Linked DNA regions of Diceros bicornis minor. The protein of the gene in region 2 purifies or fractionates together with the protein of the main gene of each other region. This does not show direct contact. Links are inferred from orthologs where the notes say so. Each region holds a gene or a part of one and is shown on either strand. Other genes may lie near its edges.

Region 1 (7,063 bases), on a different chromosome or scaffold from region 2:
AAAAAAAGAGGAGGATTGGCATTGGATGTTAGCTCAGAGCTGGTCCTCCTCACAAAAAAAAAAAAAAAAAAAAAAAAAAAGAATGAACCCAGAGGGGGCAGCCCGGTGGCAGAGCGGTTAAGTGCGCGCACGCTCACTGCAGCAGCCTGAGGGTTCTCAGATTCGGGTCCTGGGCGCGCACCGACGCACCGCTTGTCAGGCCATGCTGTGGCGGCGTCCCATATAAAGTAGAGAAAGATGGGCACGGATGTGAGCCCAAGGCCAATCTTCCTCAACAAAAAAAAAAAAAAAAAAGAGGATTGAACCCAGAGACCATCCAATCCCACCACATGGTGGACATGGACTCCTTTCTCAGGCCAAGCATAGCGATGATTATGTCCCTGTCTTAAACAGCCGCAGGTTCCTCACCACTTCTTTGGGGTAATTTCTCCATAATCTCAAGCTAGTTTACTCAGTAGGGAGCACCTGGCTTCAGGCAGCACCCCACAGCAGCCCCTTACCTTTAATGTAAATACGGAAGATGTCATCCTTCACATACGACATGGCCATCGTCAGTTCCTCGTCACTGGAAAACGCAACCAAGTCCCCGTCCTCATCTAGATTGTTTAAAAGACAGCACTTGAGCACCCAGGGCTTCTCAGCTGGACACCAGTGCCAAAAAGGGCTGAGGCCAGCGCTAAAGGGGCACTTGCAGGGCTCTACACTGAAGCCCACCTGTCTGAGCCAGAGGGAAGCAGGCTGAAACCAGACTGCCCATTCACTCTGCCACTGCCTGGAAGGTAAGTACTTCAGCTGAGCCCTGGGCGCTTAGGAGGCAGAGTGTGTGCGTGCAGTGGCAGCAGCAGCCTGTCATCTGCCCCTTCAGAAGGTGCTGCCTCAGTCTACAGCCAGCAAGGCCCCAGCCCATCTTCCACTGTGGGAGGTCTCTGCCTGTGATCTGCTCTGGGGGGGCCCAGCTCCTCCAAAAGCCTTGGGCCTCTTGTGGTTTAGGAGAGTAAAGCAGATGAGCACATCTGCCTGCTGTCTCCCCCAGCAAAGCTAACGTTATGTATTGGTACGTAGTCTCCAACCTCTAGATGCTGGCTCAGAGGGCTGTAAAGCACCACATGCATCTGCAGGCTGGGCCAGGTCTGAGGGCCACCAGCCACAACATCCAACATAAGAACAGGGCAGTGGAGGGCCGGCCCTGTGGCATAGCAGTTAAGTGCACTCGCTCTGCTGCTGGCAGCCTGAGGTCAGATCCCGGGCGCAGACAGACGCACCACTTGTCAGGCCATGCTGTGGCGGCGTCCCACATAAAGTGGAGGAAGATGGGCACAGATATTAGCTCAGAGCCAGTCTTCCTCAGTAAAAAGAGGAGGATTGGCATGAATGTTAGCTCAGGGCTGATCTTCCTCACAAAAAACCAAAAAAAAACAGGGCAGTGTCAAAATGTAGAAACAACCCAAACATCCATCAGCTGAGAAATGGATAAACAAAACGTGGTCTGTCCATAAAATGGGGTATTATTCAGCCACAAAGAGACATAAAGTACTGACACACGCTACAACATAAGTGAACCCTGAAAACATGCTAATTGCAGAAACCAGTTAGGAAAAACTAAATATTGTATGATTATATAATGCATATAAATTATATTCCATTTATATATTTATATGAAACGTCCAGAATAGGAAAATCCATAGAGAAAAAGAGTAGATTTGTGGTTACTTGGCACTGGGGGGTGAGAGAATGGGAATGGGAAGAGAGCTAACAGTTCCTTTAAAAGTACAAGTTCCTTTAAAAAGTGATGAAAAGGTTCTGAAATTGCGATGACAGTTGCACAAATCTGTGAATATGCTAAAAATTGTACACTCTAAATGGGTGAATTGTATGGTATATAAATTATAGCTCAATAAAATCATTACCAAAACAAACCAGGAGCTGGCCTAGCCAGCTGGCAGCACTCCTGAGGGAGGTCCCAGCACTGCCCCTCCAGGGGCCGCCCTTGGCTGCCCGCCTCCCTCCCAGCCACAAAAACCTCCCAACCCCACCCCAGCAGCCACCAGTTACACCAGTACAGCAAGAAACTCAGCTCGTCCCTGGGCTTCTGTCTCTACACCAACACTTCTGAAATACATTTTGATCCTGTCCTTCTGACCGCTGCCAATGGAATAACGCCTGGACTTGGCCAGGTCTGGGCTTCTGTGATGTGTCCCTGACCTCCCCTCCCCGCCGGCCCGGGGCTCCTGGCCAGGCCGCACCGCCCCTGGTCCCCCCCACGCCCAGGCTTGTTTACTGACGTCAGTCCTCTCCCCGCCGCCCCTTCCTACGCGTCTGCCCAGTCCAGGCGCTTCCACGGCATTATCTGAACCCCCACCTGGCGCCGGCAGACCCAGACTCAGCGCAGAGCAAGACGTCTGTAACCTGAGTGCCCGCCTGACCACCCTGTGCCCGCCGCGAGCCGGCGAGGACGCCCCAGCGCGCCCTTGCCAACATCTGCGACATCATAGCTGGGGGAGGGACGGCAGGTCCCGCCCCGGGGCCTGAGATCCGCCCGGAGACCCCGGCAGCGCCTAGCTCGAAAGCGCAGCCTTGGTCATCACACCCGGTCACCAGGCTGGCACCCGAAGTCGAACTGGGGTCGCACGCCGGCCGCCGCCCACCCAGAAAGCCGCCACAGCAGACCCCTGCAGGCGCCACCAGGCCCGACGAGAAGAAGAAGCGGCCACCCGGCCCGCGGGCAGCCTGCGTCACGGCCCCGCGCCGCCGGCCGGCTCACCGCGGTAGTGCGCCTGGAAGCCGCTGGGCCGCAGCGCGGGGAACAGGGCGGCCACCCGGCTCAGCAGCCGCTCGCATGGCCCGGGGCCAGCCACGGCCTCAGCTTCTGCGTCAAGCTCAGGGCTGAAGCAGAAGCTGAAGCGGCGGATCTCGCGGGCCGCGTCCTCCTTGCCCAAAAGGTAAGCCTTCACCGTGAGCGACGCCATCACCAGGTGTCGAGGAGCAGGAGCGCAGCCGGCAGCGGCTATCGCGGGCGCGGCTTTTGTAGGGAGCGCGGGAAGCCCCGCCCCGCCCGGCCTCCTGGGAGCCGGGCCTGCGCGCTCCCGGCCCCGCCCCCCCCGCCCGGGCCGCCGCGCGCGAGCCGCCCTGCTGGGGCCCCGCGCCTGCCGCCCCCTCCGTCCCCGCCGCCTCATTGGTGACCACTGTCGTCACAGTCCCTAGTACAACAGGGACCCCGAAAGGCCGGCCCAAGGACTCCGACAGATGTCTGGACTCTGGTCTCTGCACCTGGGGCAAGGGACCCGCTGGGGTCCCCGCCCCAGACCCCTCCCAGGCTTGGATCTGACCATGACTCAGCAGAGCAGAACGCTGGCCGCCTGGGGATACCCAGCGCAGGAGGGAGGGGGGCGACAGAGGCCGGAAGCCAGAAGGTTCCTAGGTGCTCATCAGGCAGGGCCGGCCGGAATAAACTGGCTCCCGAGGTTCTGTCCCGACCGCAACTCTTGAGAACCCCGACCCCATCCATTCAAAGCAACCAGCTTCCCAGGTGGCAGCCCACTCCACCACCCCTAGCATCCTCCATGATGGCCTAGCCTGGTAACCTGGCCACAGCCCCTTACTGGTGGAGGGACATACCCCCAATTCAGGCCTGAGCACCAGAGGAGCTCCCAGTTGAATAGAGCACACTGTTGAGAGGTGCTGGAAGAGCTCAGAGTGCCCCCACCCCACCCGGGCTGGACCACCAGCTAAGGCTTCCCGGAGCCTCAGTGGTCAGAGTGTTCACTGCAGCCGGAGAGACTCCCTTTGGGCGCCTGGGTTCAGTTCAGCAGGCGATGTCCAAGGACCTGTGGAGTCTCAGGCCTACTGGGCTCACAGGCAGCCCAGGGGGCAAACCAACAGCTCCCCAGCTAGGAACCAGGAAACACCGCTTTATGTGATGAAAGTGACCTGTTCGCAAGGCTTGGGGAAAGGGGGTCGTTGGGGGGGATGGTCTGGAAAGGAGGTGAGTGGGAAGGGTATGTCACCCTATGAGGTCTCCCAGGTGGGGTCCTGTGAGTAGAAGTTCAGACCTGCTGAGTCAAAGTCATGTCCTTTCCATCATGGTGGGGTTTGTGAGAGCAGGTAAAACCTCAAGGGATGGGAAACCCAAAGACCACAGAAAGTTGAGTGGATTTGGCTAGTCAGGTACAAGGGTGACACGCCCATGGGAGCACAGCAAGGACTTGTTCATAGGTGTGGCTGGTCCTTCCCAGAGGGCTCCAGAGCCGGCCTTGGCACCCCTGCCCAAACTGCCCTGTAGAGAGGATGGTCCCGTCTCAGGCCCCTCCCTGCACCCCCGCTGTGAGCCTGGGAAAGTGACCCTCTGCCCACTGCCCTGCAGACAGGGTCAAAAGCCACAGAGGGGGCAGTGCTAGGCAGCGGGTGCAGCGGCCCACAGGCGCCCACGCCCGTGACTCAGCAGCCTGGGAGCCTCGCAGCCCCCAGCGGGATGGGCCTAGGGCCAGGCTTCCCGCCCCCCAGAGCTTCAGCATCCGGGTGTGAGGGGGTGGGGTGCCCAAGGCAAGCCCTGTGGCTCTGAGGAGCGGCGGGTTTCAGGAAGGGCCCAAGTCGCAGGCCCCGTCCTAACAAGCAGCGGAGACGGAGGCCGCGGGCAGGAACGCCTTGCCCTTCGCCATTTGGCCCCATCTGGGGCCGTGGTGGGTTTTCGGGGAAAGATGGAGAGCTCAGGAAGAAAGGGGGTGGCAGGAAATAGAGCCCTGGCAAGCAGCCGAGAGACCTCCGCCCCTGGGGAGGCCCAGCTCCGGCCTTCCCAGCATGCCCCGCGGCTGAGCAGGCCCTCGCCCTGCCCTGCCCCTGCCCCTGCCCTCCCCCACGGCGGGTGAGAGGTAAACAAGGCCGGGCCGGGGAACCCCCTGGCAGGGCCCCTTCCGCCTGCCGCTGCGTAGTCAGGTGGTCTGGCCGGCAGTGAGTCAGCGTCTCATGACCGCCTCATTACAGGGGGGATTCCCCGGCCCGATGCCACCAATCTCAGTGACATCTTACCAGCCAGCCAAGCACAGGGGTGAGGAGTGGCTGCATGGGCCTCTGTGGGACCCCCGGAGCCAAAAGAGCCCGCAGAGGCTAGGATGGCAGGGAGCTGGCAGCGGGGAGGCCAGAGCCAATCAGACCCTATCCCCATGAACCCAGGCCTGCTTCTGACATCTGCTGTCCTTCCACTCCCTGGGCTGCAGGGAGCTCCCCCAACCCTTCCTGTGCCTTCTGGCCCCCTCCCCACCCTCCAGAACATGGCACGAACACTCTGCAGCTGGGGAAAGCTTGGCACCTGAATAAAAAGACCGACTATCCAACCAGCCCTGCCATCTTTGGGCAAATGACCAGTTTCAGTTGCTTCATCTTTGAAATGGGGCTGGAGTGGGATGACTTGAGTCGCCTCTCCCAAGTGATGCCCCTAGGTGTGCTACTTGTTGTTTGTCTGCCTTTGGGGGTGTCAGCTTCAGGGGTGCTGTCAGGAAGGAAAGAGGCTACAGCCTACAGTGGAGGTGAAAGAGTGGGGAGCAGAGACAAGACCTGAGTCGAGTTTCTGGGAGACTCTGGGAGCAGGGGGGCCAAGAGGTCATCTGATTTGGTCTGGTGTGTTGTAACTACCTCCTCAGTTCCCCCTCCTCCCTTCCAAAAATAATCCCATCCTTTGACAAAAGTTTTCTGAAGTTCTCTTTATTTTCTTTGCCGTGTGGAGCCAAGCCTAGAGGTGGGTGTTGGGGGCAGCCAGAGACAAGGCCACTGCAGGACTCAGGCTGAGCTGCCCCTGGCCGCCGTTAAGATTGAGGATCACAAGGGATCAAGCCCCTCCTGACCTCAGCACTAGGCTCAAGGGATGCGTTTGTCTCTCCGTGGGGAACAGGGTCGTGGATGGGGTGGCCTTCAGGCCACACTGCCCTAGGACCCATCTGCCACTTTATTCCCCTCTCTCACTCCGTAGGGACACAGCCCATACTTGGTCCTAACCAGGCCCACTCATTCCACCTGGTGATTTTCTCCTGGCTCCTCCCCCTGCGTGAAACCCTTTCCCTGCTGTCTAGAGAGGCAACCTCCCACGCTAAATGGCACCTCCTCAGTGGGGGCCTTCCCTGACCACCCCCTGGGGAAAATCCCCAGGCACTGGACATCACTTCGTTTTAGCCCTTCCTGCAAAAGCCCACAGCCTAGCCAAGAGGTGTGGGGGGCTTTGGGGGGGGCAGGGTTCTCAAAGAAAAGGGGTTCAAGTCCTCGGTCATCGGGGAAATGAAATAGAGCCACGAAGAGACACAGCTGGAGAGTTAGGTAATGCCAAGTTCTCGGGGCGTGGGAGCACTGGGCCCTCCTGCACGGCTGCTGGAGGGCTGGAGCAGCCGTTCTGGGCTTTGCTGCCCGCACTAGATGCGGGGGCGAGACGCCTGCGCCCGCCTGGGGGCCATGCCAAGCGTGTGGAGCAGTGGAAACGACTCTCACCTACGCCGCATGGGGGAAGGTGAGGCTGACCGGCTAATGCGGGGCCTTGTCTGCGTATCAGGAAGCCCGGCGCCCAAGATCGGCGGAAACCCTAAGCCCGACGGGCGGCGCCAGGGACCTCTCCGGCTGAGACCCCAACCGCGCGCGCCCCGCTCAGAAGGCACGTGCGGCCCGGGGCGGTAGCCAAGGGCGGGGGGGGGGGGTCCCTGGAGGGGTGCCGCCTAGGAGGAGACTGGACCCGCCCCACCCCACCCCAAGAGGCATCGGCCAGCCAGCCCCCCTCGGCCCCAGCGTGTGTCTTTGGGCTCCCGGCGCTGGGCGGGGTCTTTGCCCGACTGAGACCTCCGGTCAAGGCTTCGGTTTCCCCGCAGCGACAGGGAGGGCACACCTCGCTCTTCGCGTCAGATCCGCTGGTCGTTAGTGGTCTGCTCGGCCCCGGGGTTCCGGGCCCCTAAGGTGGTTCTTCAAGGGGGTGCGGGTCGGACGAGGGTCAGGACTGGGATCTCAGGGCCCCGCCCCTCCCTGGCCTCTCCCTTCCTCCGTGGAGACCTACCCCCGGCCGGGCAGTGTCCCCAAAGCAGAGGGCCAGCCCGAA
Region 2 (7,687 bases):
GAGTAACGAAAAGGACTAGAAAAAGGGACAGGGTCTGACAGAGCCTGGAGAAAAGCACAAAAAAGCCGTAGCAAGCAGAAGAGACCTCATAAAGAGAACGCTGAGAGGCTCCAGCTGGCTCTCCAGACAGGTAGGAAAGCAAAGAGCCAGGACCTCCAACAACTGAGCAGGAGGAGTGCTACAGAACAGACTGAGGCGTGGAGGAGCTTAGCAACACAGGAGGGACTGGGGCCTCAGGGCCAGAGCCCCTTACCCAGGACACCACCCGTCCGTTGAAGCAGGGAAGGCGGGCATTGTCATCTGAAATTTCTTCCTTCACCACCCTGCCGAGAGAAGGGATAAAAATCCGTGAGACTGGACTAGCTCCCCCGACTCCCATCCCCATTCAAGTTTCTCCCAATCCTCATCCAGCTCAAGGATGTGGATTTTCTCTCACCCTGTCCAAGTCCTCTTCTGTTACACCGAAACACGTCACTCTTAGACCTAAGAAATCTCCAAAAGATTCCCTTTCCATATTTCTCCTTCTCTCCCCAGCTCCTCCTCAGGGGCTCAACGCTGCTCCAAAGATTTCCTTGAGTCTGATTCAAACCTCTCAGTCCAATTTCAAAGGCCATCCCATGAGGTTACCCCAGCTGCCCAAAATATCTATCTGACCTTAGGAGCCTTGCAGGCAGCCTCCCCTCAACCTCTAACCTGTTCCTCACACACCTTCCCAAAAAAGGCTTTGGTCCTCATGTAAGTCTCCACTCTTATGCTTTCCTTAGTTTTCTCTAACTCACTTCCAGAGGGCAGTCCAAATGTGCTGTCTTTGCCTAAATAAAAATATCCATTAGACCAAAGAATGGTACTTCTTCACTAGGCCGAGAGCTCTCAAGGAGAGGGGAAGCCGGGCTTCCCACTCCCCTGTGCCTCACCTGGCACAAAACTCTGCACTAAGCAATCGGCTCCACCTGACAGACCCCAAAGCCCAGCCCTGGGGACCATTTGCCCCATGGGTTCCTTGCGATGGACTGGACTTGTCCCTTCTTCTCAACTACCACCGGAAATCATTAATCATTAATGCCTATTCTGTTCAACACTGCATCCCAGCCTCACAGCAAAGTACCTGATACTTGGTAAGCATTAACAAATATTTGTTGACTAAAGGACTCAATATATAAGCTATGAAAATCTCTGCCCTGAACACACACTCTCATACATCCTCACTCTTGAATTAGGACATACTGTCTGATTAACCCTTTAGCCTAATATGGTTCTAGGAGCCTGGATACATGCCAACTTAATCCCATTTGCTATCAAAGCGACGACACAGCCCAGGCACTACTAATCTGCCTCAGCATAATGTAGTATTCTTCACAACATAATCCAGTCTCATCATAGTCCAGCCTGCCAAGTTGTTCTATTCTGTATCACCACAGGGATACAAACCTGGCTTATAGACTAGTCAGACTCAGTACTAATAATGACAATTATCATTTGCCAGGTACCTGTGGTAGGCATTTTACTTTGATGATCTCCATTTCACAGATGAGATCAAAGCACAAAAATTAAATAAATTATGCCAAATTAAAATGCTGACAAACAGAAGAACCTTGATTTAAATCCAAGGTAACTCCCAACACAGTACCACTTTCCCCAACGTCCAACAACCTTTCTAGGGAGAGCCCAGTCTGTTCAGCCCTCCTAGAACCCAGGCAATCCCAGCCTAATCCAGCCTGCCTTCAAAGCTGAGCTTGAGGACAGAGACTGCTCAGTCTCAAAGGCTATAGACACAAAAGGGCTTACTCTGCATTACTTAAAGTCCCAGTCTAGCCCAGAATGTCCCAAATTACCCCAGGAAAGCCCAATCTAGTCTAGCACATCCTAGAATGTCTCCACATGCAGCTGTCTGCACCAATACAGACTAGAATATCCCAATACAGCTGTCTGTACCAGCAGAGACCCCAACAGACTGTCTGCTCCTCTACTGAGTGTCCCAATAAAAACTAGGCCCCCACAAAAACTAAGATCAACCAATACAACCCAGTAGAGACCAGAATGGCCCAAGTTTCTCCAAGATAGCCTAATCTACTCCAGGGCAGCCTAGAACATCCCAATACAGCACACTCTGCATTATTACAGACTAGAGTGTCCCAAAACAATCCTGCCTGCCGTAGCATAGGCAAGAGCGCCCTAAGTTACCCCAGTATAGCCCTATCTACGTCAGGAGATTCCACAATATCCCTACATAGCCTGTGTGCTAAAGGACTGCTCAGAATGCACTGAACTACCAAAAGATAGATGAATCCACCTCAGCACAGTCCAGAACATCCCAAAATAAACCAGTGAGCCCCATTCTATTCCAATATAGCCTAATCTTCTCTAATCTGGTTTAGTATAGCCCAGTATGTCCTCCTACAGCTCCGTGCGCCTCAATCTGTCCAAGCATAACCTTGTCCATCCTGTGATACCCAATCTACCCCAGCATAGCACAATCTACTCCACTATAGCCCACAAATCCCCAGCATGGCCCAGAATGGACCTATGCCCCTCAATATTGACCAATCCACTCCAGCACAGTCCCCAGCCGTCCCAGTCTAGGCCTCGGGCTCACCCGAAATCCTGATCCATAGACTTGAAAAAGTACTTAGCGCCCGCGGGCCGCTGCAAGACGCTCTTGAAATCGCCGAGAGTGATGCGCTCGGCGGGGACAGGGATCTTCACCAGGTAGGGAGTCTCCTCTTCATCCAGGTGGTAAATCACCTTCGTCTCCCCGACACCACCGCCCCCCGCGCCGCTGCCCGCCATGGTCTCGCCCGCGCGCTCCCGGGCTCCGCCGCCCACCCAAGCGGGCTAATCGCTCCCGCCGCGCCTGCGCACACCCGAAAACCGACGCGCGAGCGCGTACAGGACCGACCCCGTGCAAGAGCGGTGCAAGAGAGAAGGCGGCGGTCGAGGGGATAGGAGAGGGCGGCCAAGGGGTGCGACCCAAAGCCTCGGACTCAGCCGCCGCCGCGCGCCACCGCCGCAGACGCCGCGAGCGCCCCTCCTGTGCCCCGCCCACCTCTCCCCATGTCACGTGACCCAAGCCGACCCACCTCGCGCTCTTCGTAACGCCCTCCGCCACGTGACCCTCTCCCGGTCACGTGACCACTCGGCTCCTCTTAGCGCCCCCGCCACGTGATCACTGCCTTCAGCAACGGTCTCCCAGCCCGCACCGGCCCCGCCCCCAAATGTGTCCCCACCCGCGTCCACCCAGTCCCGTGGCTAAGCTGGTCTCTGCCCTCAGGGAGCAGGCAACTGATTCCCACCCTGCTTTACCCAGCTCGGGCGGGGAGCTCCGAGCAAGTCTGATCCGCTGGAGCGAGCTTGTGGGGGGTGGGGGGTGGAGATTGTGGGGATCCTACACAGGGGCGAGGTGGGGCAAAACCAATTAAGGCCAGAGAGTCGTTTTCACCTCGGACTTGAAAGGGGGGTCAGTTTCAGCCCCTCCTCCAGCCAGTCTTCTGCCAGCTTTTCCAAAGCCTCCCTCCCAAGCAGGACAGTCAGTGAGGGCTATAAACACAAAAGAGCCCACTCTGCTTTATTTACAACACGCAGGCTGTCTGTACAAACAGCTGGCCAATATTATTAAAAACAAGAGGTGAGTGAGAGAATCGTCACCCTTCTGTTTTCCCTCCTGCCGGGCCAGGCTCTGGTTGGTACTCCACCTCTGAGCTGCCATGCCCAAAAGGGGAAGTCCAAAATTAAAAATACAACCGGTATAGAATAAATGGGGAGTGAGACAGAAGAAAAGATGAGGGACGGGAGTGCTATATTTACACTAGAGTTTTATAGACAACTGTCCCATTCCATCCCAATTCCAACCCTGGCCCAGAAAGTGAGAGGTGGCAGGCCCAAGGGACAGAGATTAAGTGTCTAGGGACCCAGGCAGCTTCCCACCCCCAAATGTAAGGGGTCCGAGTTCAAGTCCACAAGGTGGGAAGGAAGGGTAGGGGAGGAATGTGAGAAACTCATTTCCAAACCAGCCTCCCTTAGGAATTCCTGCCTTGAAGTGGGACAATATCCAAGCTCCAGGGGATAGGCTTGAGGACCCTGAGGCTCAGTTCCCAAGTCATGTCATTTAGAAGTTCCAGCCTAGAGCCTGCGATGTCAGGGCTCTCCAGATTTGGGAGGCCCCCCTAACCGCCTGGCCTCTGGCCGCAGTTCTTTGCATTTCTGGCAGTAAAAGAAGTCAGGGACATTGGTCTTCTTAATCTTAGCACAGGAGAGGTGGATCCACGTCCCACACAGGCTGCACTCAATCATGGGCCGCCCTGCAAAGGGCTTTCGGCAGTAACATGTGATCAGATCCCATGAGTCATCACCTGGGGAAAAGAAGGTTTGTTTGGTGTTCTGCCTGAGCTCTTGGATCCACAACACCCCTAAACCCAGCCTCCCAGCTGCCCTTGGGTGTCCCAAACTTCTCACCTGATTCTACCATGATGTCCTCATCCATGACCCGCATCTCGCCTTCACTGGAGCTGGCATCTCCATCTTGGCTTGTTTCAGTGCTGCCCACCTCCTTGCTTTCACTGTCAGTGGCAGGGGCTCCTTCAGGGTGCACTGTGGCAGGGGGCCTGGGAGCCTCAGGGGGTGTTGGCAGCACAGGGGCTGGGGCTTCACCCCCTACCATTGCTGCCATCTCTTCCTCCTCTTCCTCTTCCTCCTCCTCCTCCTCCTCCTCCTCCTCCTCTTCAGAGTCTGTATCACTAGGGGGTGCCCGGGGAGGACCAGGAGGTGGGAGTCTATCCCCCCGCTCTGCTTTTTTCAACTTCCGCTTCTTGCTCTTCTTGATTCGAGACCTCTTTTCCCCATCCCCAGGGGCTGGCCGAGGCCTCCGAAGCACCCCAAAGCCAGCACCCGCTCCTGGCCCCAATTTTCGGTTCTTTCGGTCCTTCTTTCGAGGAGGCTGGGAGAGGTCCCCCTGGGAAAGGGGCACTGGGGTGAGAGCAGCAGGGGGCCGGGAGGCATGTGTCAGGGATGTGGGGGACAGTGGAGATGCCATTTTGGGCCCATCTAGATCAAAGAGAGAGTCCTTGAGCTTCATCTTCTCAAGCAGGGTGGCACTGTCAGGGGCCTGCAGGCGAGAGAAAGTGGACCTTGGGGGTCCTGGCTGGGTGGGACCTGCTTGAGCCGCCCTTCTCTTGGATGACTTTGCTTTCTTAACAAAGGTTTGGATGGTTCGGAGATCTGAAGGGGCCGAGTCCCAGCCATCACTGTCTGCTGCACTCTCACCTCGCAATGGAGAGCTGGAGCCGGAAGCTGGCCAGTCACTTTCCTTAAAAAGGGGAAGAGACCAGGGTCAGCAGGCAGCCCAGTGTCATCTCAGCCCCTCTACAAACCCAGATTAGAAACCAAGAACTAGATCTACCCCAAAATATCCTGTCAAAACCACCAAGTCTCACTGTACTCATCCCAATTCCCATCAACATCTCCACTTGAACATTTCCATGTTACCTCTGCCCTCAAATTCTAGCGATCTCCCCAGTGCCCAGTGCTTTCACAACATTTTATCTCCCACACCAGAACCATACTTCTTTAGCTCTGTTCTTGTACAGCCTCCTTTGTTGCCATTTTCAGCTTCCTAAAATTTATCCAAAAGCAACTTCCATTAACAGTACCCCAAGACCATTCACTGCCGCTCAAGTCACCTAGCTTTATTAACCCCATCTCCGCCCCAGACACTAGTTTTCCCACCCAAGTTTCCAATTTTCCTAGTCTTATAATTCCTGGTAGGTTTCTCCTTTAAAGTAATACAGTCCCATTTACTCAACAGCGCCTCTATAGTCCTAGGACACCCCTTCATATCACTTGTCCTCCTGTCCCTACCTCTTTGCTAGCGGGGATGTAACCAGCATAGGCCAAGACAAAACTGCAGAACTTATTAAAATCCTCAATTGTTCTCCGACGTTTCTCTGGTGGCTGAAAGGAAGGAAACATGTATCACATGGAGTGTAAGAGGGGCATTCCCAAAGGCACAGTCCCTGGAGTGAGGAATGTGGAAAAGGTAGAAGGGAAAGAGAGACGGACAAAGGTGGGGGAGGGGGTCTGGCAGTAATACTAGGCTGCAAAGGTAAGGGAAACCTCACCTGAGTCTCTGGCTTAAGGGTCGGAGGTGGATCTGTGAAAGCAATAAAAGCTGAGTCAAGGCACTAGGCAAGAGTCGGTGTAAAACCCCACCTCTAAACCTTGAAGGTCCCAAGCGATCCCCCTTCTCTCCCAGGTACCTCAGCCAGGCCAGCAGGCCCCCAGCTGCGCTGGACCCGCCCCTGCTCCCCCTTCCGCCCCGCGAGGGGCGGAGCCTGGGCGCGGCGCCCTCCCAGGCCTCGCTATAGCGCTCCCCTTCCCCCCACCGGAGGCCTGGCGCCCCGCCCCCCCCCACAACTCACGGTTTCTCTAGACTCCAGTCGACTCGGATCTCTTAGCGCCCCACCCCGCCATACCGCTCCCCGGACCGAGCCAGGGCTGCCGCCTGCCCCTGTCCTTCACACGCGCCCAGAGCCTGGAGTTCCTACCCGGCCGCGCTCTACCGCCCCGGGTCCTCCGAGACCGCACACGCCGCCCGCCAGCCCTCAGGGTCCAGGATGACCACGCTGAACCGCTCCCCGCCCTCCGGCCCCTTCTACCGGAGCACGAGGCCCGGCGCGCCCCTCACCCCACCTAAACACACACAGGCACACACAGCCAACGCCACTTCGCGTCCGGGACAGACCAGAGAGCTCTAACCCGGACGCGGCCCCACCTGCCCCCCCCATACCGCGCTCCCCACAATTTCGCCGTCCCTCCGCCCCCATCCGGGGCTTTGGCCCCTCCCCGTCTCGAGCTCCTCGGGCTCCCCGTCGGGCCCCCGGGCCCTGTTCGAGCTCTCTCCGGCCGCCGCCCCCCCCTCCGCCCCCGTACTCACCACCGAGTCACTAGGCTACGGACCCCTAAACTCTACACCCCCCCCCGCCCAACCAGCTACTCTCTCCCCCCACAGCAAGCCCCGCTGCTGCCCACTCACCCTCCGCAACTCCCAGGCTCTAACCCTCGCCGACCAAACCTACACCCCCCCCCCCGCAACTCGCCAGTCTTAACCCCCCCACCCCGCCCCAGCGCCCCTACAACTACCCAGCTCTCCTTGCTTCCCGGCTCTCTCTCTCCCCACAACTAGCCCCGGTACAGGTCCTTCTACCGCAGACAATACCCAGACCCCCTCTTCTCCTTACAACTATCTGCCCACCTCTCTAACAATCACCGGGCTATCTCTGGCGGCAACTACCGGGAGCTCCGGCACCACCGCCACAAACTCCCCCACCTCGGCGAACTGCCGGGCTCCTACTCAGTCCTCTTCTACATCCTCCCTCCTCAACAACTCCCCGTCCCCCGATACTCCCAACCTCCCAGGTCCAGGGCCCCAACCTGCCGGAGGCCTTTTCGGCCCCTAACCCCCGAAGCTCCGGTTTCCAGCTCCCACTCGCCCCGCACACACACACACAGTCTGATCTCCAACTACCCCCAGCTCAGTCTCCCACTCCTCTTTCTCCAAGATCTCTCAACTCATCGCTCTCCCACCTCCAGGGACAGGCCCCCGACCCCCCCTCTCCGTGCTCCCTCGCCGGGCTCCTGGGCTCGACCTCCAAGTTTGCCAATTGATTCCTCGCCCGCCTCCCGCTGGCTCAGCGCT
Region 3 (7,334 bases), on a different chromosome or scaffold from region 2:
GAAGGCCCAAGCCTATGCCCACCACCCACGCCCTCTGATGGCCTCCATCCACAGACCACAGACACCTCCTGCTGCCGGCCGTAACTCCCAGCCTAATTCCTGCCACCCAATGCTGCTTTCTAGACCAGGGGTTCTAAAATTTATCGTGTACAAGAATGAACCAGAGATATTTTGAAATCCAGATTGTGATCCAGTAGTCCGGGTCCCGAGATTCTGCATTTCTAACAAGTTCCCAGGGGATGATGCTGCTGGTCTGGGGACCACACTATGAGTAGCCCGGGGCTAGAGCAAGTTTGAGGAGACCTTCCCTCCCCCTTCCCCGGACCCATGGCCCAGGCTGCAGGAATCCTATAGGATAGGCCAGTGACAAGGAAAGAAATGGAAATTAGGCTTTATTTTTGGGCAGCCTGTCCTCTGGAGCAGCCTTTCCCTAGGCAGAAAGGTCCACAGGCTAAGGTCAGCCAGGTGAGATGTCCAAAAGGGCCGAGTGGGTCCTGAGACAACCCCCAACTTACATGATGCACCCAATGGACCACACGTCCACCTCGAAACTGTGCCCTTTCTTGCTCAGCACCTCAGGAGCTATGTAATTAGGAGTCCCACACAGGGTCTTCTTCCGCTCCCCGTCATATTCCACTTTGGTTGCCAGTCCAAAATCCCCTGAGACAGAGGAAGCAAGAGGGGGTATCAGATGCTAGCCTCTGTCATCTGTCAGTGCAGACATCTGGTTCAGGTCTGACCATCAAGAACCAGGGTCGCTTGAACCCTCAAGCCTCTATTCCTTGTGCACAGCAAGGCTTGCCCAGGAATCCCCCCACCATGCTGGCCCCAGGGAAGGGCCTCCCAGTGACCCTCCTCACCCCTGACCTTAGAAAGGAGGGCTAGGCTTCTAAAAGGGACTTGATGGGGATAGCAGAACTCAGACGCCTTCAGGGATCAAGCAAGTAAACTTCAAGACTGTTATCTGGCAAGTTTGTGAGGAAGTAATAGGGAGGAGTGGGGACTGTGGCAAACCAGAGGGAGTCTAAAGGGAACAGCTGCTTTTCAGCCCAGCAAAGAGCTGCCCTGAGGGAATGTTGGCCCTGTATTGCTGGAGCTTCCAGTTGTTTAAAAGGAACTCCAAATCCAAGGTTTTATGTCAAGACTAATTTAAAAAATGGAAACTAATTCAAATCCTTTTAAAAAAAATACCGTGTAGGGGCACAAAATCATGCATCTGCAGGCAAGATACTGGCTTGTGAGCTCTTTGTTTTAAATGTCCGCCCTACAGAGAGGACTCCAGAGGCAATCAACAGCTCAGACTTTCCACCACCCTCTACCTCCTCCGTCCTCTCCTTCCTATTTCCTCCCTCCCGGCCTCCTCCTCATTCCCACTTCTCCTAGTGGTGTCAAGCACCCGTGCAGGCCCAACACCTCACCTATTTTCACCTCCAGATCCTCGTTCAGGAAGAGGTTGCCCAGCTTGAGGTCCCGGTGAATAACCCGGTTGCGGTGCAGGTACTGGCAGCCAAGGACGATCTGCCGCAGGTAGTAGCGGGCCTCGGGCTCAGTCAGGGCTTTCCTCCGCTTGTGCAGCTCCAGGAGAGACTGGGCGGGGGAGGAGAGGAGGAATGCGGAGTCGGTACTGAGGCCCGAGGGGAGACGGGGTGTCATTAGGTAAAGACAGCTAGGACATTCCCCCAATTCCTTCTCCAGGACAACTGCGATCTGGGCCCTCCCCTAATCCTGGCCACCATCGTTCATAGCACCCCCTCTCCTACTAGCTCCCTCTCAAGCCCCTCACCTGGGACTCCTCTCCCAGCCCCACTCCGGAAGCTCAGCGTTCTCAATATCCCCTCCCCCGGCCTCTTGGCAGCAGCAGATCCCTTTCCCGACCCCTCTTCCCCGGAAGCTCCGAGGTCTGGCTCCAACCACCCTCTGCCTGACCCAACCCCACTCCGGAAGCTCCGGGTCCACAGCACCCCTTACCCGGGACTCCTCCCTTAGCAACTCCGGAAGCCCGGGGTCCATTACCAGGGTCCTACCCCGGCCCGCGCCGCCCCCACCCCCACCCCTCTGCCGCACACCTAGGGTCCAGGAGCCGCCTTCCCTAGCAGAAACAGGACTCGGGCTCCACTTAACCGGACCTCGCCTCCACCCTCCCCGCCCCCAGCAGCTCTGAGTGCCCAGCACCCTCTACCCGAGACCTTTTCCATCCCTAGCTCGAGGTTCCCAGCACCGCCACTCCAGCAGCTCCGGGCCCCGGGCGCCCCAACCCCGGCCCCCAGGCAGCTCCGGTCTCCCAGGAGCGACACTCACTCTCCGGCGGCAGAGCTCCAACACCACGAACACGAAGTCGCTGTCCTCGAAAAAGCCGTGGAAGCCCACGATGTGCTGGTGGGCGAGGCTGCGGTGAATGGATATCTCCATGGACATCTTCTCTTTCTGGTGTGGCTTGAGCAGCAGCGACTTAGGCACGATCTTGCCCGCGAACACATCCTTAGTGTCCGCGTCCGAGATCTCGAAGCACTTGGCAAAGCCGCCTTTCCCCAGAAAGCGTCCCCGCAGATAGCGCCGGCGACTGCGCGGGTCCACTAGGACCTCCGGGATCTCTTTCGCCGGCGGGGCGGCCGCCGGGGCCCCGGGAGCCGCAGCGCCGGGGACCCCGGCTTTCCCTGGGTCGGCTGGTGCCCGCGCCAGCTTCCCTGCAGTTGCCGCCGCACTCATGTTCCCCGAGTTGCTCCGCGGACCTAGTAGGGTCTGGGCAAATGCTTGGCACCGCTGCGCTCCTCCTCGAATTCAAACGCGGCGCCGGGAACGTTACAGGAGCCTGCGCGCCACTGATTGGCCGCGGGGATTTAAAATCCAAACCCGCCCGCCGCGCGGCACTATGGGAGCGCTCTACACCGCAGCCGCCTTTAAACCCGTTCCCAGCCGGGGAAAAACACTTGATTGACAGGCGCTCGCGGACGGCAGACACGTGGGATGCCTGGGAAACAGTACCCGGCGTGGGGAAGCCGAGCCCCAGGCCGAGGAGAGGAGACAACTTGCAGTTCACATGCACCGCCTCCAGGAAGCTTTTCCCAACACCTCCCTCCAGCCCCACCCCGCCTTCTGGAATATAAACTCGGAGAAGGGAGACCTGGTAGCGCCGAGAGCGAGCTTGGGAGAGCCTTAGCACCCGCCTCCGATGTCATCAGCTCTCTTCCAAGTCACTCCAATAAAGTAAAATCTAAGTAAAACCAGGATGCTTGCCGGGCAAATGCACCTGCACTGCAAGCCTGCTACTCCCCTCCTTCACATGACAGCTGCTCCTGAGCCTCTCTGGGTTGCAGAGCAACGCTGCTCAGAGGAGGTTCCAGGGACCACCAGCATCACCGCCACCTGGGAGCTTGTTAGAAAGGCGGAATTTCAGGCCTTACCGCAGACCTGCCCAGTCAGAATCTGCCTTTCCACGGGGCTGCCCAGGTGATTCCCACACACACGGCAGTTTGAGAAGCACAGTAGGAGAGCCCCCCACTATGCAAGAAAGTGAGTCGTCTGGCTTGCTCACTGCTGTATTCCCCAGTGCCTGAAAATGTGGACCCTCAATTGTTTGCTCAGAGGGAGGATGGCTAGGGGGCAGAATGCCTGGCAAAGGGGAAGTCCAGGGCCAAATCTGTCCTGCAGGGGTGTTTTGTCAGGCTTCCCACTTTTTAAAATTTGGATTCATTCACAACACTTAGAAATCAAGGGGGTTCACATAAAAATTCAGACTTGTAGCTTTTCCTGAAAAAACTAGAGGCTCTGGCAACTCTCCGCCTACATACCTCCCCAGTGTGCCTCAGGTCCCAGCTATCCCCTTTGCCCATTGCCTATCTGGCAAAATAGAAGCCCTTTCTCTGCGCCCCCATACGTCGCACCTTGTGATGTCTTTGATAGAGCCAGCAGAAACCAACCACACCGTAAAGGTCTCTACCTGCTTCCCAATAAACAGAGGCAAGGACATGTTTCCTCCCCACGTCCAAGCTCCCAGCGCAATGCCTGGTAAAAAGGGTTAATGAACATGTCTGCTGAATAAAAGGAAGTTGTTGTTTTTTTAACTACATTTGTATTTTTTATCCCTGTGGTGTGTAATCTTCTGTTTTATCTTTTTTTTTTTTTTTTTTTTGTGAGGAGATCAGCCCTGTGCTAACATCCACCAATCCTCCTCTTTTTTTGCTGAAGAGGACGGCCCTGGGCTAACATCCGTGCCCATCCTCCTCCACTTTATATGGGATGCCGCCACAGCATGGCTTGCCAAAGCAGTGCGTCGGTGCGCACCCGGGATCCGAACCAGCGAACCCCGGGCCGCCGCAGCGGAGCGCCGCACCCAACCGCTTGCGCCACCGGGCCGGCCCCTGTTTTATCTTTTTATCGAAGTTGAATCTGTGTACAGAAAAAGTGTACATACCATAATTGTAGAGCTCAGTGAATTTTCACAAACTGAACACACCCCGTGTCAGCGCACCCAGACTACCAACACCCCAGAAGTCCCCTTGTTCCCTGCGTGGGGGCCCAGTTCCATGATTCACTAGGAGACTCACAGGACTCAGCATCTAGTCCCACTCACGGCCAGCTAGGACGCATTACAGCTACAGGCTACGGAGCACAAGCACAGGGGGCAAAGGCGCATGGGGCCACGTCCAGAGGAAACCAGGCACAAGCTCCCAGAGTCCTCTCCCAGTGGACTCACACAGGACACCCTTCACTCCTCCAGCAATGAGTTGTGACCACACATGCAACATATTATCTACCAGGGAAGCTCATTAGAGACTCAGTGTCCAGGGTTTTCACTGGGGACTGGTCACACAGGCACCCTCTGCCAAGCACACAACCAAATTCCGGATTCCCAGAAGGAAAGCAGGTATTTGGCATAAACCACATTGTTTGCACAAACAGTTTAGGCACAGTGAGCCACGCTTATCATTCAGGGAATGGTGAGAACCCTCCCCAAATCCAAGCTTCCAGTCGCCAGCCAGGGGCCAACCTTGCAGACAGACCTTTCCAAGGAGAGCAGTCTCAGGCCTGCTTGATCACCTCTTCTCTGTACAGTCCACACCCCTGGCCCTTGGCTATGCTTCTTTACAGCAAATCACGATCAGTAGGACCCCACACAAAACGGTGAGACCAACCTGCAGTACTGATCTCAGTTACACCTGTTAGGGTCCTGGATTTAGCCAGCTACAATAAATCCCAATAACTATAGAAGTCTATCTTAGAAAGCCAAGTGGTCTCCTCCTCAGTTTCTGTATGACTCGTTTTCACCCAAGGCATCAATCAGGTACAGCACAGCTGCGGCCGGTACATTCAAGCTGACCTGAAACCTTCCAGGGCAGAGGCAGTGTGGCGACAGGGCACACAGACAGAAGTGCAATGCCAGAGGGTACACGTGGTTCCCCTGGAAATGAGTTTGCAGTGTTAGGGTACCCCAAGGGGGACATACACTAGTCAGGCAGTAGGGGTTAACAGGGCCCCCAGTGTAGCCTCCTACCATGGGGCCTCTTGCCCTCGAGTTTCCAGTCCAGTCCAAAAATCCATGCAATCCTTGGTTTCTGAGGGACTGCCTGAAGAGAGTTGATTCCAGAGAGATTTGCTTGTCCATGATACAAGTCTATCCACCTCATGAGGGTGCACAACACTTGAAGGAGTTCCGCATGGCAAGGGCAGGAGCTGGGCCCCCTCTGTTGTCACACAGTTAGAGCTGCCAGGTGCGATCCCAGGCTCCACACTCTGAACTCAAAAGCACTCCCAGCGCATGCTCCCAGAGGCAGCACTGGGCGTTTCCCCCAGGAAGAGGGGAAAGCTTCCAGGAAGAGTTCTGAAAAACAGATCATAAATGCCCCCCCTTCCCCAAGGCTCCCCAGGTGCCAAGTTTTTACTTTTTCTCCATTGATACAAAATCAGTGTGCCCCACTGATCAGCAATCCTAACTTGACACTTTTTCCATCACCTCTTACTCTCATCCAGGCCTTTCATCTGGAAGGGTTGTATGCAAGAGGCACAAAAGTATTTCTGTAGATAAACATTTTTATACAATGTAACCAGAAAGACACATTCAGGAATTGGTCAGGATGTGTTAAGGGCTGAATTGTGTTCCCCCAAAATTCATATGTTGAAGCCCTAACCCCCAGTACCTCAGACTGTGACTGTATTTGGAGACAGGGCTTTTAAAGAGGTGATTAAGGTAAAATGGGGTCGTTGGGGTGGGCCCTAATCCAATATGACTGGTGTCCTTATAAGAAGAGATTAGGACACAGACTACTCAGACGGAGGGGCGACCATCTGCAAGCCAGTGAGAGAGGCCCCAGGAGAAACCAACTCTGGTGACACCTTGATTGGACTTCTGGCCTCCAGAACTGTGAGAAAATAAATTTCTACTGTTTAAGCCACTCAGTCTGTGGTATTTCGTTATGGCAGCCCTAGCAGCCTAATAGAGGATGAAATTTTGAATTTTCAAACATTTCAAAATGGGTTTACAGAACCTCCTACCCTTTTTATCCAGAGAGCAGCTTAGAAAAGATCAAGCCCTCTCTAGAGACAGCTACATTTGAATAATCAACCTACCTTACCTTCGTGTCTGTGCTGGGGGAAATGTGAGGCGGCAGAGTCAGGCTATCAGCCCACTGTGGCAAGTTGCAATGAATCCAGAAAGCCAGACACAAGTCAACAGCGGTGAGATGTCCCCCAGAGAAGGCCCAGAAGGTCTGATTTGTCAAAAGCAGGCGGAGGGTCACAGTCCCTGTGACTGCCCTCCCCCAGCCTGCAGCTTTCCACGGGGATCACAAGTTAGGATGCAATTAGCCTCTGCATCAGAGATAAAGAGCTGATCAGTAGCTTGCTATCAGACGGTCCCATCAGAGAACAGGCCCTTTCCTGTGGACATTTGTATGTGACCCAGATGGTCCAGCCAGCATCCACGAGGTATGCTTCCATAATTGAGAGCTCCACAGAAGGGGTCCTAAATCTTCAGGGGTCCCAGGGTCTGAGTCCTGTTCATGGAGCCTGTCTCTGCTTTCAGTTCAGCACAGCTCCTGTGGAGGCTGCAACAGCTCACAGCAGCCAGCATCAGTTTTCTGCTCAGAGTCAGGTCCAGGCAATTGGGATCAGTGAATTGGGGATTCCAAACACGCCAGCTGCTTTTCTTCCGCAGCAGCAAAGGCATGCTGCAGTGCCAGACAGCCAGGTCCACGTCCAAGCGACAAGCAAGGCTTCCTTTTTATCTTGTCAGTCACAGAGTCCAAACTGACCCGCTCAAGAATACGCACATCAGACTGGACAGTCACCAGCCTCTACAGGTCAGACATTCGATTTCAATAAGGGCTCATTAGCAATTT
Region 4 (7,381 bases), on a different chromosome or scaffold from region 2:
AGAAATACCTTTTTTTTCTTTTGATAAAATATCCAAAGCTCTTTAGTAGCACACATTCATCTTGGTACACTGGAGAATAATAGAATAAGAGTTACAAAACTTAGCTCTAGTTCTAGCTCTAGTTCTAGCTCTGATTCTTAACTAGTTTTAGGTAAATTATTTAACCTCCTTAGGACATTTTTTTTTAAAACAAACAGAAAACCAAGAGGTTGGACTAGTCTAAGAATAGTATATACCTGGCACATATACCACCCACTAGATAACTGTGCCCGCAGGAGGCATCACCAATCAATCATAAGTCACTTTCCCAGAGAACCCATATGACCAAAATCCCTCTCAATACAGTGCTTCTGGCAGCTACTTCAAAGCAGAGTTGGCCCATAAACCATATTTGCCACTGTATAATCTCTGCAATCTCTTGCAACTCTAAAATTCTAAGACCAAGTTTCTGAGTGGGAGAAAAACTTCAAACAAGCTTAGATCACCGTTGATAGTCATAAATTTCAGTCTTATCTCCTAATTCTCCTCCAAATTGCACCCAATCTCGTTCTAATTTTTTCAAAGATGCTAATGAACAATACACTCCAATACCATTAACATATTTAACCTGGCAATATAATTCAGGCTTGCTAATGGGTTCTTTTGACAGAAAAGGAGTCCTTTGCCCAGACTGTCCCTAAAAAATCCTCATCCAAAAATATGGCAACAATATTACACTAGGAAAGAACTAAACTCAAACCCTTAAACATCCCCACAGCCTCTGTCCAAGGTCAAGGCTTTTCACCTCTCACCTAGACCTCTGCAATGGCCACTCTTCCATCCCTTCACTCTTATCACCAGAGCAATCTTTCTGAAACACACACATACTCATCCCACTTTCCTGTTTAAAAATTTGCATCTATTGCTAACAACATAAAACTCAAGTTTTTTAGCATTATACTTAGAACTTTTCATATAGTTGCCTCCTTTGACCTTTCTGGCCTCATGTCTCACATGCTCTCCTTCCTCATTCCACTCCCTGCTCTCTGAACCCTTTTTCTTCTACAATCCTCTGCATTTACAAACAGCATTAAGGTTTCTTCCTTTATCTGCCTTGTCCTTCCTTTTCCCCATCCCTATCACACTCCTACTCATCATCTAAGACCCAACTTAGGTCCACAGGCAGATTCTGCCTCCTTCTGTGGCCAACCCCCAGATAGAACAGGTCACTTCCTCATCTGTCTCCAAGTTTTTTGAGCTGTCCTAGGTATGCTCACAGTATTGTTTGCCTCAGTGGTTCCCAACACCATCAGAATTACCTGAGGCATGTTGTAAAAATAAACTCCTTAGAGCCAACACAGGCATACTAAATCAATCTCAGGAGACAAGACCCCGGAAATTCTACTTTTAACAATCTTCCCTAATTATTCTAATGGTCAAATTTGGGGACTACCGGTCTGTCTCTTCCAATAGGTGTAAAGATGTGTTTTTTAAAAGAATGTAGAAATGATTTACTCTAGAATACACTGAAGAAGTATTCTGCACTTGCTTTTTATTTCATATCATAATCCTTGTTGACTTGATTCATATGCTGAAGATGAAGGAATTCCTTTTGGACTCACACCCAAAAACCTTACATTCACTGTTCAAAAAAAACAGTTGAATTTCCACCTTCATTTCTAAATCTTAAAAATGAAGTAATTGTACCTTGAGTAAACCTATGAATACACAGTGCAGGCGCTCACCAGATCTGCCACGAGAACTTCATTTCAGCCGAGAAACAAATCCTTAGCAGATTTTGAGAGTGGAAATACACTGCCTCTACATACTTCCTTAAAATCGAATTATATTAGGAATAGATGCCGGAGACCCCAACTAAGTGCCAATGATAGGCGGCTGGCTCCAGCGCCTCATTAATTTTCAAAGACAAGTCCCACTCTTCCTTCCCCACCCCTCACTCCCCCAAAAAAGTATACTGAAGCTGTAAAATAATGGCAGAAAATGTAACACGATTAAAGATACAAATGTAACCAAGAAAACAAGTTGGGTTGTTACCGGGAATCGTGAATTTCGGGTGGTTTGCAAGTTCACCTGGTTACATCTCGGACTAACGTTAGGCCCAAAGTCTACTTCGGGCGCACGGTCCCTGTGTTTATCTCTCTTTAACTCGCTGCCCGGAAATAAATCTTAAAACTTGAGGTCCCTACGAAGTCATGTCCTCATCATGTTTTGACCCTTATAATACGTTCACGGCTACTTTTTTCTTTTCTCTGCTAAAGGAACGGACACTCTCAGGAAGGAGGACAGTGACAGCTCCACGTCTGCAAAACTCGGCGCCGGGAGGCGCCGGCAGGGTCGGGGCGGCGGGAGCCGAGCAGGGCGCCCGGGCCGGGACCACCACGCTGGGGGACAATGGAAGGAGGAGGGGACTGGAAAAGACAAGGGTAAGTAGCCGCTGTGCTGGGCCCCCCTCGCGACTGGGGGCTCCAAAAAGTCTCGAGAAGGCCAGCCGGGTGGCAGGTGGGCCTCGCCGCCGCCCCTCACAAGGCCACGTCGCGCGCGCCGGCCGCTGCCGCCGGGCCCCGCGCGTAGGCCCGGCGGCGGGAGAGTGGCCCCCGGGCGGGGCTGAGGGGCGCGGGGCCGGACCCTGCCGGCGTCCGCCGCGGCCCAGCCCTCCCACAACTTGGCGCCGGCGAGGCGAGGGGCTCCGGACGCCTCAGCCCGACAGTGGCCACTCGGTGCGTCCGGCCGTCCCACCTCCCGCCCGGCCCGGGCCACTAGCCCGAGCTCCTCGCGCCCCCAGGGGCACCGGCTCTGAGGGAAGAGCGAGGAGCCAAGGTTCTGGGGGCCCGGCTCGCGCGCCACATTTCTCCATTCCTCGTTCTCCTCGGACACTCTCATCCGGGCACCCCACTCTCCCCAGAACTGCCCCCAGCCCGCCTGCGGGTATTTACCGGGACTCGGGGCGGCGGCGACTCTTCAGTCCCTCGACTAAGATGGCAGCCGGTCCCGAGCCCCGACTACAGGGACCGGAGCCACTAGGCCGCCAATGCGCAGGCGCCTCCTCCTCGGGAGCGACCCCGACTACAAACCCCAGAAGGCCTGGCGAACTTGCCAGCCTCTGGCCGGAAGAGCTGGCTGGAGCTGGTGAGCGCAGCTAAATCGGAGTTTGCTCCCTCCCAGCGCTTCTAGGCCCTTTTTTAATCCCTCCCGCCCCACCCCCACCCCCACCCCCACCCCCACCCCCAACCTCTAAAGACTGTAGCTTCGGTTCCGAAACTCTAGTGTGCGTCAGAATCAGCTGAAAGCCTTGCTAAAACTTAGACTCCTGGGCCCCCCCTCCTCCCCCAGAGTTTCTAATTCAGCTGATCTTAGATGGCCTGTATTAATTTACATTTCTAACAAGCTCTCTGGTGTGCCACTGGTGGAGGATCACACTTTGAGAACCAAGATTTGTCCTTAAGGAAGTGCACTCGGGAGTTACATTGATCCGGTTCAAATATACCTTTTAACAGGGTGCGCTTAGGGTTGATGAAAATAGCTTACACGTAATTGGTGCCAACAGGGCAGGTGTTCCAAGAGCTACTCAATAAACTTCTTTAAACCTCACAACAAACTTATGAGGGAAGTATCTTCACTATCCTCACTCTACAGATGCATAAACAAAGTCACAGCTGGATAAGAACCCAGGCAGTCTGGCTTCAGAGTCCATCCTCTTAACTTCCTTCATGAGTTGTTTATGAGAATAGATAGGCTAAGTAGACTCAGAGGAACAACTAAGTGCTTAGTAATTAGTAACCTTTGCTATTATTGTTTAGCCTGTTTCCTCCTAGTGAAAATAATATTTCACCATCTAGAAAGTCACTTAACGCTTTTCAAAATACTTTCAAATCCTGTATGTTAATGTTTCCTGCAATATGCCTTAGGAGAGTGTGTTAAAGATACAGATTCCTGCTTACAGATCTTCTTAAAGATACAGATACAGTATCCTGTACTCTTGGGGGGGTCCTACCTATTCAAATTCTCTAGGACAGTGGTTCTCAAACTTTAGTGCCCATCAGAATCACCTGGAGGATTTGTTAAACCTTAGTTTGCTAGACTCCACCCCCAGAATTTCCGATTCAGTAGGTCTAGAATGGGGCCTCAGAATTTGCATTTTTAACCACAGACTACACTTGGAGAGTCACTGCTGTAGGGCAGTGTTTCTCAACCTTTTTTTAATCATCTCTCTAAGGAACATTTTAAGACATTTTTTTCTCTAGTCATTCCCCCCATGAAATTTTAATATCACAAGTATACTGTATATCTATTTATGTACTATATGTATATCTGTGCTTTTACATGAAAAAGTAAAAAAATTTTCCTCTCCACCCCCAACCAATTTTTGTCCCATTACGAATGTATGCTCTGGGCCGGCCCCGTGGCTTAGCGGTTAAGTGCTCGCGCTCTGCGGCTGGCGGCCCGGGGTTCAGATCCCGGGTACGCACCAACACACTGCTTCTCCGGCCATGCTGAGGCCGTGTCCCACATACAGCAACTAGAAGGATGTGCAGCTATGACATACAACTATCTACTGGGGCTTTGGGGGAAAAAAAAAAATGAGGAGGATTGACAATAGATGTTAGCTCAGAGCCGGTCTTCCTCAGCAAAAAGAGGAGGATTAGCATGGATGTTAGCTCAGGGCTGATCTTCCTCACACACACGAGGGAAAAAAAAAAAAAGAATGTATGCTCTGGGAAACGTGGGTTTTTAAAGTAGTGCCCCAGGTGATTTTTGTCAGCAGGCAGGTTTGGGAAACACTATCTCTTTAAGGTATGAGGTGTTTTTATGACTATTATACGGAGAAGGAAATGAGTCTCAAGGAAATTAGATGACTGATCCAAGATCACTCAGCCAGGAGCTAGGGATCCAACCAAAGTCCTCTGGCTCCAGATTCTGTCTTCATCTACAATTTTTTAAACTATATAATGTTAGGCAAAACTAATCTACGGTGTTTGAAGTCAGGATAGTGAATCCCTTTGAGGGGAAGTAGTACCAGGAAGGAGACACAAAGGGGCTTCTCAGGGCTGGTAATAATGTGGTGTGCTGGTACACAGGCATGTTCACTTTGTGAAAATTCATCAAGCTGTATACTTATGATTTGTGTATTTTTCTGTATTTGTATTATATGTCAATAAAAGTTTACCTCAAGCAAATATATGTTTTAAATATATGCTCATTTTGTTCCAAAAATGCATCTCTTTCTACTACATGCCAAAGATTCTCAAACTTTAGAGTGCCTCAGAATCACCTGGAGGGCTTATTAAAACTCAGATTGTCAGCTATCACTCCCAGAATTTCTGAGTTAGGAAGTTCTGGAATCAGGCCTAAGAATTTGCATTTCTTTCTTCTTTTTTTTGTGAGGAAGATCAGCTGTGAGCTAACATCCATGCCAATCCTCCTCTTTTTGCTGAGGAAGACCAGCCCTGAGCTAACATCTATCGGCAATCCTCCTCCTTTTTTTCCCCTTTTCTCCCCAAAGCCCCAGTAGATAGTTGTACGTCATAGTTGCACATCCCTCTAGTTGCTGTATGTGGGATGCTGCCTCAGTATGGCCAGACAAGCAGTGTGTCGATGTGCGCCCAAGATCTGAACCCGGGCCACCAGTAGCGGAGCGCATGCACTTAACTGCTAAGCCATGGGGCCGGCCCCAGAATTTGCATTCCTAACAAGTTCCCCAGGTGATGTTGATGCCCAAGGATCACATTTTGAGAAACACTGAACTATGCCAACCTAACTTTCATGCTAATGCCAACAGGGTGGAATAGCTCTGCCCTGGGAGGCAGTACTTGGAAGAGTTAATAATTTAGGCTTATTCAGAGGCATATGGATCAAAGATCTAGTCCTGACTATCAACAACTTGCTTCAGGGTCTTAGGCAAGTGCCTTGAAACTCAGTGTCCAATCTCTAAATGGAAATAATAGATCCTACTTCCTAGGATGTTGTGAAGACTCTAGAAAATCCAGGTAGGTAGTTGGTGGTTCTCCAAAGAGAAGTTGAGTTGGTGAGGGCAGAGAATCCTCTCCTGGCCATTTCCTCATCTCTCATGCTGTGCAGTTTTGGCCCCCAGGTTCCCTGATCCAGAAGTCAGCCTAGTCTTGGCCTGGTCAGAATGCAGGACCTGTGGCTGATAAAGCTGTGAGCCACCTACACCCTCATTCTGCCTTGGACACCCAGGTCAGCCTGGGACAAGACCCAGCCCTGCTAGAGCAGGGGCAGGAAGCCTGGAGGAGGCCCCCACCACCAAGAGAAGGAGCTTCCCAGGCCTCTGGGGAGAGTAGGGGGGAAGGAAGCAGGGATGCAGAGCTGGAATGAGTGGGGAGAGAAACCCCAGTGGCCCACACACAGCCTGTCACTTACTGGCTTTCCCTGCAGAAGGCTTAGTCACGCTGTTGTCCCTCTCTTCCCTGAAGCCACTCTGTATTCAACTGCCAGAGACAGGGGAAGACTTGAAATGTGGCAGAGCTGTGTGTAGATGGAGAGAAGACACTGGATGGGGCTTCTGGGAATCTAAGATCTGGATCCAAAGAGACCACTTAAGACCTGAGGTCATGGCTCCATCAATTCCCCTCTTTAAGACTGTTTCTTCATTTGCAAAATGAGGCGCACACATTCTGCAGTTACTCCCTCCCAGGTAAGGTTGTCAGATTTAGAAAATAAAAATATAGGATGCTCAGTTAAATTTGAATTTCAGGCAAACAATGAATAATTTTTTTAGCATAAATATGTAACAAATATTGGTATAACATACTTATACTAAAATTATTTTCCTTGTTTATCTAAAATTCAAATTTAACTGGGCATCCTGCATTTTCTTTGGCAACTCGACATCCAGGGCTTTATCCACTTTTTCCATCAGGGGTAGTAAACTTAAATTCCTCCAAGGGCCAGTAAGGAAAAATAAAAAATCACAGCTAATATTTACTTTCTACATTGTAATTACCAAATAGAGTCTTAAGTGTTTTATATATACTATCTCATTGAATACTCTCAGCAACCTAGGTGGGGTGCTCAGTTTCCACATCTATAAGATGAGAATGGTAATATAACCTATATCGTGGGTCATTGTGAGGATTAAATTAGCATGTGAAACACTTAGAACAATGCCAGGCAAGCACTCAATAAGCAATAGCTATACTTTTTCCCATTATACAGATGGGGAAACTGAGTCTCAAAGAGGCAGGATAACCAGCTTGTGGTCATACATCTAGCAAGTAGCAAAGCCAGGATTTGAACTCAGGTCTAAAACATTGGCAACCAATTCAAAACATTTAAAACTCCTGCATGTTTCATCAGCAGGAAAATGGATGAAGTGTGGTATATTCATTCATACAGTAGAATACTACTAAGCAATAAAAAAGAA

Evidence for each region.
Region 1: the proteins of DVL2 (region 2) and SQSTM1 purify together in Homo sapiens (affinity purification with western blotting; 3 studies listed by BioGRID, with this or other methods). This does not show direct contact. The link is inferred for Diceros bicornis minor from reciprocal best matches to the Homo sapiens genes DVL2 and SQSTM1.
Region 3: the proteins of DVL2 (region 2) and PLK1 purify together in Homo sapiens (affinity purification with mass spectrometry; 6 studies listed by BioGRID and IntAct, with this or other methods). This does not show direct contact. The link is inferred for Diceros bicornis minor from reciprocal best matches to the Homo sapiens genes DVL2 and PLK1.
Region 4: the proteins of DVL2 (region 2) and ITCH purify together in Homo sapiens (affinity purification with western blotting; 4 studies listed by BioGRID and IntAct, with this or other methods). This does not show direct contact. The link is inferred for Diceros bicornis minor from reciprocal best matches to the Homo sapiens genes DVL2 and ITCH.

The regions. Positions count from the first base shown.
Region 1 is NC_080740.1:92,810,623-92,817,685, reverse strand, and holds the start of SQSTM1 (sequestosome-1), read right to left. Parts: upstream 3,002-7,063; 5' UTR 2,967-3,001; coding exon 2,762-2,966; intron 597-2,761; coding exon 501-596; intron 1-500. UniProt on the Homo sapiens protein: Molecular adapter required for selective macroautophagy (aggrephagy) by acting as a bridge between polyubiquitinated proteins and autophagosomes.
Region 2 is NC_080757.1:11,048,663-11,056,349, reverse strand, and holds the start of DVL2 (segment polarity protein dishevelled homolog DVL-2), read right to left. Parts: upstream 3,006-7,687; 5' UTR 2,788-3,005; coding exon 2,594-2,787; intron 324-2,593; coding exon 254-323; intron 1-253. Other genes in the region: PHF23 (PHD finger protein 23), read right to left, coding at 4,132-4,346, 4,450-5,299, 5,851-5,943, 6,111-6,142.
Region 3 is NC_080765.1:28,067,781-28,075,114, forward strand, and holds the start of PLK1 (serine/threonine-protein kinase PLK1), read right to left. Parts: upstream 3,011-7,334; 5' UTR 2,707-3,010; coding exon 2,299-2,706; intron 1,588-2,298; coding exon 1,419-1,587; intron 661-1,418; coding exon 516-660; intron 1-515. UniProt on the Homo sapiens protein: Serine/threonine-protein kinase that performs several important functions throughout M phase of the cell cycle, including the regulation of centrosome maturation and spindle assembly, the removal of cohesins from chromosome arms, the inactivation of anaphase-promoting complex/cyclosome (APC/C) inhibitors, and the regulation of mitotic exit and cytokinesis.
Region 4 is NC_080758.1:25,188,353-25,195,733, forward strand, and holds the start of ITCH (E3 ubiquitin-protein ligase Itchy homolog), read right to left. Parts: upstream 3,013-7,381; 5' UTR 2,934-3,012; intron 158-2,933; exon of another isoform or gene 9-157; intron 1-8. UniProt on the Homo sapiens protein: Acts as an Acts as an E3 ubiquitin-protein ligase which accepts ubiquitin from an E2 ubiquitin-conjugating enzyme in the form of a thioester and then directly transfers the ubiquitin to targeted substrates.